Linked DNA regions of Oryzias latipes. The protein of the gene in region 1 interacts with the protein of each later gene in a pairwise test. Links are inferred from orthologs where the notes say so. Each region holds a gene or a part of one and is shown in the gene's direction. Other genes may lie near its edges.

Region 1 (4,538 bases):
CTTTTATACAGATAACCAGTTCAAAGAAGATACATAAATACTGATGGCCAGTTCTGGACAGAAGAGCTTCTTAAAGGAGTGGTAACAGGTCTGTGAGGAACCGAATTCTTGCTTATTTGTAGGAGTTAATTTATCAATTCTTTCATTAAAATCCTACTATGTGATTTCCTCGATTGTTTCCCCGCATTCTGTGTCTTGTAGCTGAAGTTTACCTAACTCCTCATATTCTGCACTATTCTAAAAATAATTAAAAAAAATTGTGTGATTTCCTTGATTTTTACTTCTGTCTCACTCACTCTGAACTGTCAGCTGAGACAGTTCAGAGTGAGTGTGGCGTTTAAATTTTAGCATTCAAATACACACCTAGGCACAATTTCGAGTCATATATTAACCGGTTAAGCATGTTTTCGGGAAGAGGTCAAGAGTGCCCAGAGAAAACCTACACTTACACGGGGAGTACATGCAAACTTCACACAGGGAGGTCCCAGGGTCCCCTGGCTGTGAGGCAAGAGGCGCCAACCACTGTACCACTTTGCAGCCCGCTCTCTGTACAAAGCTGACAACAACATCACAACAAGTCCTGCTACAACGTTTAACTTTAATTTTGTGCTTGAAAAATATGCATAAAAGCATTTAAAGAAATAAACTAGGGGTGTAACGAGTAATTGACTTAATCAATGAATCGATTTATAGTACTACAATCCAACTGGATTGATCTGTCTGAGGGAAATTTTTAATCAAACCAACCTGAACATTATCAAGATGAAATAAGTCAATCATATCAATATTGGAAAATGCAGCACAGTATGTTTATTTTACTATTACAATAAAAAAACAAGTACATCACAGTGGACAACACACATGTGATGACAGTAAAAAACGATCAGTCCATCATTCCAGTCCAATGTATGGAAACACTTAAAATTTAACAAAGACATGTGACCATACAGTCTGGTAGAATGTTCCAATAATGTTCCCTTTGGATTATTTTGATGTGGAAAAACAACAGCAGGCTGAACTTTAGGAAACTAAAATGTAAATGGTTTTGACATGTATTCTTGTTTGTACACATACACATAATTTACAATTGCTTATCTTGCAAGAAACACAAGGTATCTGGAAAGCTTCACCTGCACTGTTCAGTACCAGCTATTTATCTCTGAATTACACTGGTGGATTTTTGGCTAAATATGTCCCAGATCGATTTTCAGTTATTCAAATCCAGTCGGATCCTTACAATCGAACCAAAATCGAGAGGGAATCTAACCAGCAACCACAAATTATGATATGGATGAATTGTTAAAATGAATTGGTACAAAAACATGGAAATGTGTCGACAGGTTCCAAAGAGGACACGAGAACTTTGAAGAAGGGTAGAAATAGCTTATAGATAAAGATGTTTCTACTTTTCTTTAATGACTTCTTTGACTATCTCTGTCTGTCTGTCTGTCTGTCTGTCTGTCTGTCTGTCTGTCTGTCTGTCTCTCTGTCTCTCTGTCTCTCTGTCTCTCTCTCTCGCTCTGTCTGTCTGTCTCTCTCTCTCTCGCTCTGTCTGTCTGTCTCTCTCTCTCTCTGTCTAACATTGCATTAAATTGCCTTGAGTGAGTCCTCCACACCGCACGGGGGCAGTAGAGCAACAAGCTTGCTAAACACGACGCTTCTCCGTGGGCAGTGTTGGGCCACTAGCAAACAACTGAAAAAGTGAGGAAGACGGTGAAGGCGCTGGCAGGACAATAACAGCGGAGTCTGTTTTTTGGAAATCCTTTTTATATTTTTGCCATGTATTGTACTTGTCAATAATCGTATGTTTGGCGGGGCTGTGTCCAAACGCGCCGTTTTCACCGTGTACCCGGCATATTTCCTCTTTAGTTGGCATAGATGAGGAAAGGCAGCCCCGCCTGCAGGGGGGGGAAACAGGACCATCGAGTTTGCTTCGAGTTAGCAAGCCGTCCTTAAAAGACTGAGCGCAGCAGAATGACAGGTACGAAATGCGACACATCCATTTAACCCGGGTTAAATCTTCCCATTCACACACACAGCAGCAGTCTTTACGCGATGTTTGGTTCTCTCACTCAGAGGATGCCATCCTGCTGAGTGTTCCTGTCATCCGGCAGCTCTACCACTGGGACTGTGGCTTAGCCTGCTCCAGAATGGTCCTAAAGTAAGTTCACCTCTGACCTTTCACCAAGAATCAGTAACAGTAAGACCACCTTAAAACAAGACCATGACCACGTGGACTGCAGGTACCTCCACCCTTTGAGTGATGAGGAGTTTCAGAGAGCATGCTGGGAACTGAAGCTCACAGAGAGCGTGTGGACCATTGACCTGGCCTACCTCATGAGCCATCTAGGAATCAAACACTGCTTCTACACACAGACTCTTGGAGTGGATAAAGGCTTTAAAAACCAGGTACTTCTCCGAGTCTCTGCTGTTTGAGAACACTCCTGGAAGTTCTGATTATCATGCTGTTTACTTTGTGTTGCAGTCCTTTTATAAAAAGCATTTTGACACAGAGGAAGACCGAGTGAACGAACTCTTCCTAAAGGCGGAAAGCAAAGGTGTGATTGTCAGGAAGTGGTGAGTTTCAGCTCATTCCCCCGCATGTTTGCTGCCTTGTGGAGGTCATGTCTAACGTGTGCCATCCTCCCACAGTTCAGTGACGGTTCAGCAGATCCAGTCGCACCTGGAGCAGGGCCACGTCGCCATAGTGCTGGTCAACGCCGTGATCCTGACCTGTGAGCTGTGCTCCTCTCCTGTCAAGTACTGCTGCTTCCTGCCCGTGGGCCAGAAGTGTTTCTGCAGGAAGCCGGAGTACCAGGGTCACTTTGTGGTTTTATGTGGTTTCAACAAGACAGCTGGCAGCATCTTTTACAACAACCCTGCTTATTCTGACCGTAAGTTTAAAAAGCTCTTCTGTCCAAAAAGACATGTATCTTGATCATTTTCACCCATGCTGGTTGAGAAGAGCTGCACATTTAAGTTCATTTTAGTTACAAAGGGTGCATAAGTAGCATTTTTAAAATGCATGTGTCCATTATGTCATAAAGTCCCACTCCAAACATCTTGTGATCTATTTTAAAAGCGTTCCCGGTGATCTTTTAACCATGATTGTGCAATTTATAGCCCAAATCAAAAAACCTGTATCAATTTTTAGAACATAGTTTCTGCAGAGCGACAGGAGTTCAATAAAAACTCACCTCTGAGTTGTCAGTACGACCGTTGGCCAACCCCGCCCTCTTCACATCACCCATAACTGAGGGCTCTGTTAACACGCTCTCCTGCTAGCTTATAGCCGCTCACACCCCCAACTTAAATGGCGAGCAATATTGGAGTTATATCCAGCCATACTGTTTTGAGCCAGATGCCAGCTCAGACGAGGAGAACAAAGACAAACATGGATCTATGTGTCTGCAAGTGGATGCATCAGAATGGAGCGGAGCAGGTAGTCTGTGGTCCGCCCAGTGAACAAATACAATCTTTATCAAACAGAAAATTTTTTTTTAGTCTGCTCCTGATTCACAATTTAAATGAAGAAATTGTCAGACATGCAACTTTAAGCTTATGTTCAGAAAAATGCCATAAGAACTTGCAAAACCACCAAAAACCTCGTTTTCATTAGTGAGTCTTTAAGCAGATTCATGGCTTTTTTTGAACAATGAACTAAAATGCTCCAATAGCAACAATTAGATTTAGAATGATTTTTGTTTTGATTTACCTCTTAAGTTCCATCTACAGAATTTAAATTCTGTCATTTCTTATTTGCAACTTTTTGTTTGATGTCTGTTTGTATTCTCTGAAACTTTCAACTGTAAATTTTTGATTTACTCAGGTTTTTTTTCTCGTGAATTCCCCAAAATTTTCAGTTTACAGATGCTGTCTAAAAGGTCAGACTTTGAATCTTTGGACTGCTTCAGACCGGCTGAACCAGCAACCTTTTTTTTTTTTTCTTTCGTCTGTGGAGTTCTGATGGAAGCATTTCAGGAAAACATGTTTTTTCTTCCAGGTGTGTGCTGCACCAGTGTCAGTAACTTCGAGGAGGCCCGGCAGAGCTATGGAACAGACGAGGACATCCTCTTCATCTACAAGGAGAGTTGATGGACGCCAAAGGAGGATGCCATCGTTTTTTGTGTCATGGTGACGCTGCAGGTCTGCCCTCTAGTGGCTCAACATCTCCTCCTTCGTTTGTAAATAAAGACACGTCTGACCGAACGTCTGAGGACGTCCCAGCTCGAAGGGCAACTTGATTTCAAGGGGATGGTCTTCGACCAATGGGACGGTCCAGTTTGTTTTTATTTTTAAAGACTTTGATTCCGGGAGTCGACTTCTAATCTGGTGAAAATGTGGGGAACCTGGAATATGACTTAACAGGAAGTAACGTGCAGATAATTTAGGGTTTCTATTGAAAACATGCAGCATTGTGTGCCGGCTGTGTTTGATGTGAAGCTGCTCAGTCCTCCACATGCCTTCAAAAGCCTCCACGGCATCGAGGAAGAGGAGTCCACAAACGGAGGAAAACGGTTAACAGGTGTTTTTGCGAG
Region 2 (3,832 bases), on another chromosome or scaffold:
CTTGGCGTGGACGTTTCTTTTGCTGACTGCACAAAACCAGAACTGCTCAAGGCTGCTCTGAAGCCCAACACCAAAGTAGGTTATGAAATCTTTCAACAACCAATAGTCCTGGTGTTATGTCTGTGTCTACTTCAACTAATTTCCCCTTCAATCAGTTTCCAAGCATGAATTAGTCCTATGTGTGACACATTTTTCCTTCTACTCTCATATGTTAAGTCGAGATAAAATGTGTTTTTCACCTATTTTGACGCTAAAATAAGTGAATATTTGTGCAGCTTGTGTGGATCGAGACACCAACCAACCCCACGATGAAGGTGGTTGACATCAAGGCCTGCTCCGATTTGGTGCACGAGCACAACAAGGATATCGTGGTTGTCGTGGACAACACGTTCATGTCGGCGTATTTCCAGGTAAAGGATTGATGTGCATTTCACACTTAGTAAGTTTTTTTGGAAATGGCTGATGGAATTATACCTCCTGCGTTTTATTCCGAACCCCCACAGCGCCCTCTGGCATTGGGAGCAGATATTTGCATGTATTCGGCCACAAAATACATGAACGGTGAGTCATGAGTCAAATCACGTTTTGCCATTTGAAAGCATCAACTTTTATGTAAATGTCATTTATTTGCAGCAGTTTAACTAAAGGCTTTCTACGTTTTTAGAATCTTCTGTTATTTTTTTTTTCTAAACTTAAAGGAGATGATTTATGAAAATAATTTATTTGAATGTTTTGTAATTTTGATTTTTTTATGTGTAAGATGATCTTTTCCATCTGACTGTCTAAAAATAAAGACTTAAAAAATCAGATTATCTTCTTTCACTTTCGGCTTCTCCCAGCAGGGGAGGGACAACCCTCCCTTGAGGATGAGTCGCATGGTTAACTTGGCAATGTTTTTAGATTATAATAAAGCAAAAGTTGTTTTTGGCAGTCTTATTCATTTGAATGGTTTAGACCCTTGTTTTTCTTTAAGCGAACAATGATAATAATAATAATAATAATTGATACTTTATTTATCCCACAATGGGGAAATTCTTCTCTGCATTTGACGCATCCCCTGGGGGAGCGGTGAGCTGCAGCCAAACTGCGCTCGGAAGGCAGTAGCGTTTAGGGTTAAGGGTCTTGTCCAAGGACCCCCACTGGGTGATGTTAATCACTCGCCTTTGATAGGGCAATTGCCCCCAGTACCATTGTTTATTCCCCTCCGGGAATCGAAAATACCTGTATTTTTTGTTACAAAAATCTCATTGGCCAATTGAAATAAATATCTTCTTTTGGAATATTACAAATTAGATCTAGTTAAAATCGCAACATACTTCAAAATCTACATAATTATACTTGAAATGACCCGTCCAAGCCCTGCAACAGACTGGCGACCTGTCCAGGACGTCCCCTGCCTTCGCCCACGAGTGGCCGGGATAGGCTCCAGCAGCCCCTTGACCCCGAAAGGGACAAAATGGGTTAGAATATGAATGAATGAATGCCCCATCCAAGCAGCACACTGGTTCATGTTTTACTGCAGCATGAAGGTTTGGCTGGTTCTTCAGTCGTGTCCTGTGCTCCACAGGTCACAGTGATGTGGTGATGGGGATGCTCTCATTGAACAACGAGGGTCTGTGTGAGCGACTGAGGTTTCTGCAAAACGGTGAGTTAATGCCACACTGGTGCTGCAAATGTTATAAATCTGATTACTGCGAGAGAAAACCAAGTGCTTTTATTTTGAAACATTTGCTGGCCTAAGAAAACTCTCGGTGAATGTAAACTGCATTATTTTCTTGAATATGAAATATATATATATAAATATATATATATAAATATATATATATATATATATATATATATATATAAATATATATATATATATATATATATATATATATATATATATATATATATATATATAAATATATAAATATAAATATATAAATATATATATATATATATATAAATATATATATATATATAAAAATATATATATATATATATATATATAAAAATATATATATATATATATATATATAAAAATATATATATATATATATATATATAAAAATATATATATATATATATATAAAAATATATATATATAAAAATATATATATATATATATATAAATATATATATATATATATATATATATATATATATATATATATATATATATAAATATATATATATATAAATATATATATATAAATATATAAATATAAATATATAAATATATATATATATATATAAATATATATATATATATAAAAATATATATATATATATATATATAAAAATATATATATATATATATATATATATAAAAATATATATATATATATATATATATATATATATATATATATATATATATATATATATATATATATATATATATATATATATATATATATATATATATATATATATATATATATATATATATATATATATATATTTTACATTACATTACATTACATTACATTACAGACGAAATGTTTGGACACACCTTCTCATTCCTTTAAATGGGAAGGTCTGTACTGTATATAAATTTATATTGAGTTTGGCAGAAACCCTTACATTAAACTGGCTTTTTGCTCCACTCCACATTTGGTGAATTGGTTATTTGACCTACATTTACTTTGTAAACAACTAACACATGAACCAAAGGTAAGAACCAATTTGAGACCCTTTCAGTGTAAGAGGATTGTTCCTGCTTCTTTGGCTTGCCAAGACTTGAAGTTGTGTTTTTTTTCTGCCTTTTGTTTTTGTCGGGATACAGCTCTGGGTGGTGTCCCGTCTCCCTTCGACTGTTTTCTGTGTAACCGTGGACTGAAAACGCTACACCTGCGAATGGAGCAGCACTTCAAAAACGGCATGGCTGCTGCTAAGTTCCTGGAGGCGGATCCCAGGGTGGAGCGAGTCATTTTTCCTGGTAATGGAATTGGCTTCAGCCATTTTGCCGACTAGTGGGATAGGCCACTTACTCCAACCTCCCAACTGTAAAATGAACTTTTTCGTTGCACATTTCTACTGTATTTAGTGTTTTAACAGAATATTTTTAATTATTGTATTTAAACAAGTCTGCATGATAGAATATAAGTAGCTTTTATTAGGTGTCTTCTCTTTGACTGTATATCTTTTCTTACCGTATTTTTTAGCCCAAATGTTTTAGAGTTTTTTTTTTTAGTAAATAAACTATTCCAAACTATTCATTTTACAGAACAGATATTCAGTAAAATGATGCTTAAATGTCAAGGAGAGAAGTGACTCCAGATGAGTAAACACTGCCATCTAGCGGTGTGTAGGGTGTAAAGGTAAGTGAACAGCAGCAGAGGTGTCATCTAAATGGGTGCAATGAGCTTAACAGACCCATAAACCCTAAGTAAGTATAAAAGGATTCATACGGTGGCCCAGAAGGGTCACAACACATTAACTTACCACACAACACATTAACTCAACACAACACATTAACTCACAACACAATAACTCACAACACATTAACTCACAACCGAAGTAAAGATGCAATGGAAGTGCTTTTATTCTGAAATTTCCACTGGGCTGAGCGGCTAACTACCTAACAGAAAGTAACGTCACAGTGAGCTGTGGAGGGAGCACGTTGTTGCCAGATTACCCTTGCCAGATACTCTGGTGGGCTACCTTAGATTCATACATGCTGACTGAGCAAATCATTTTAATGTTAAATAAAGTTGGACGTGGTAAAACCAAAGAACTGATCTAAGTGGCTGGGTAGCTCGGTTGATAAGGTGGAAGGTTGTCACGCAGGAATACAGGGTTTGATTCTGAATGGGCAATTACCATAGTGAGGGCCCTTGAAGAAGGC

Evidence for each region.
Region 2: the proteins of gucd1 (region 1) and cth interact in binary tests that used the Homo sapiens proteins (3 or more experiments, as listed by UniProt). The two-hybrid records come from large-scale screens. The link is inferred for Oryzias latipes from reciprocal best matches to the Homo sapiens genes GUCD1 and CTH.

What each region holds. Positions count from the first base shown.
Region 1 is NC_019867.2:25,327,035-25,331,572, forward strand, and holds the start of gucd1 (protein GUCD1), read left to right. Parts: upstream 1-1,622; 5' UTR 1,623-1,974; coding exon 1,975-1,981; intron 1,982-2,076; coding exon 2,077-2,161; intron 2,162-2,243; coding exon 2,244-2,409; intron 2,410-2,485; coding exon 2,486-2,577; intron 2,578-2,652; coding exon 2,653-2,894; intron 2,895-4,003; coding exon 4,004-4,095; 3' UTR 4,096-4,538.
Region 2 is NC_019862.2:13,073,748-13,077,579, forward strand, and holds part of cth (cystathionine gamma-lyase), read left to right. Parts: coding exon 1-75; intron 76-275; coding exon 276-410; intron 411-503; coding exon 504-561; intron 562-1,567; coding exon 1,568-1,645; intron 1,646-2,770; coding exon 2,771-2,923; intron 2,924-3,832. UniProt on the Homo sapiens protein: Catalyzes the last step in the trans-sulfuration pathway from L-methionine to L-cysteine in a pyridoxal-5'-phosphate (PLP)-dependent manner, which consists on cleaving the L,L-cystathionine molecule into L-cysteine, ammonia and 2-oxobutanoate.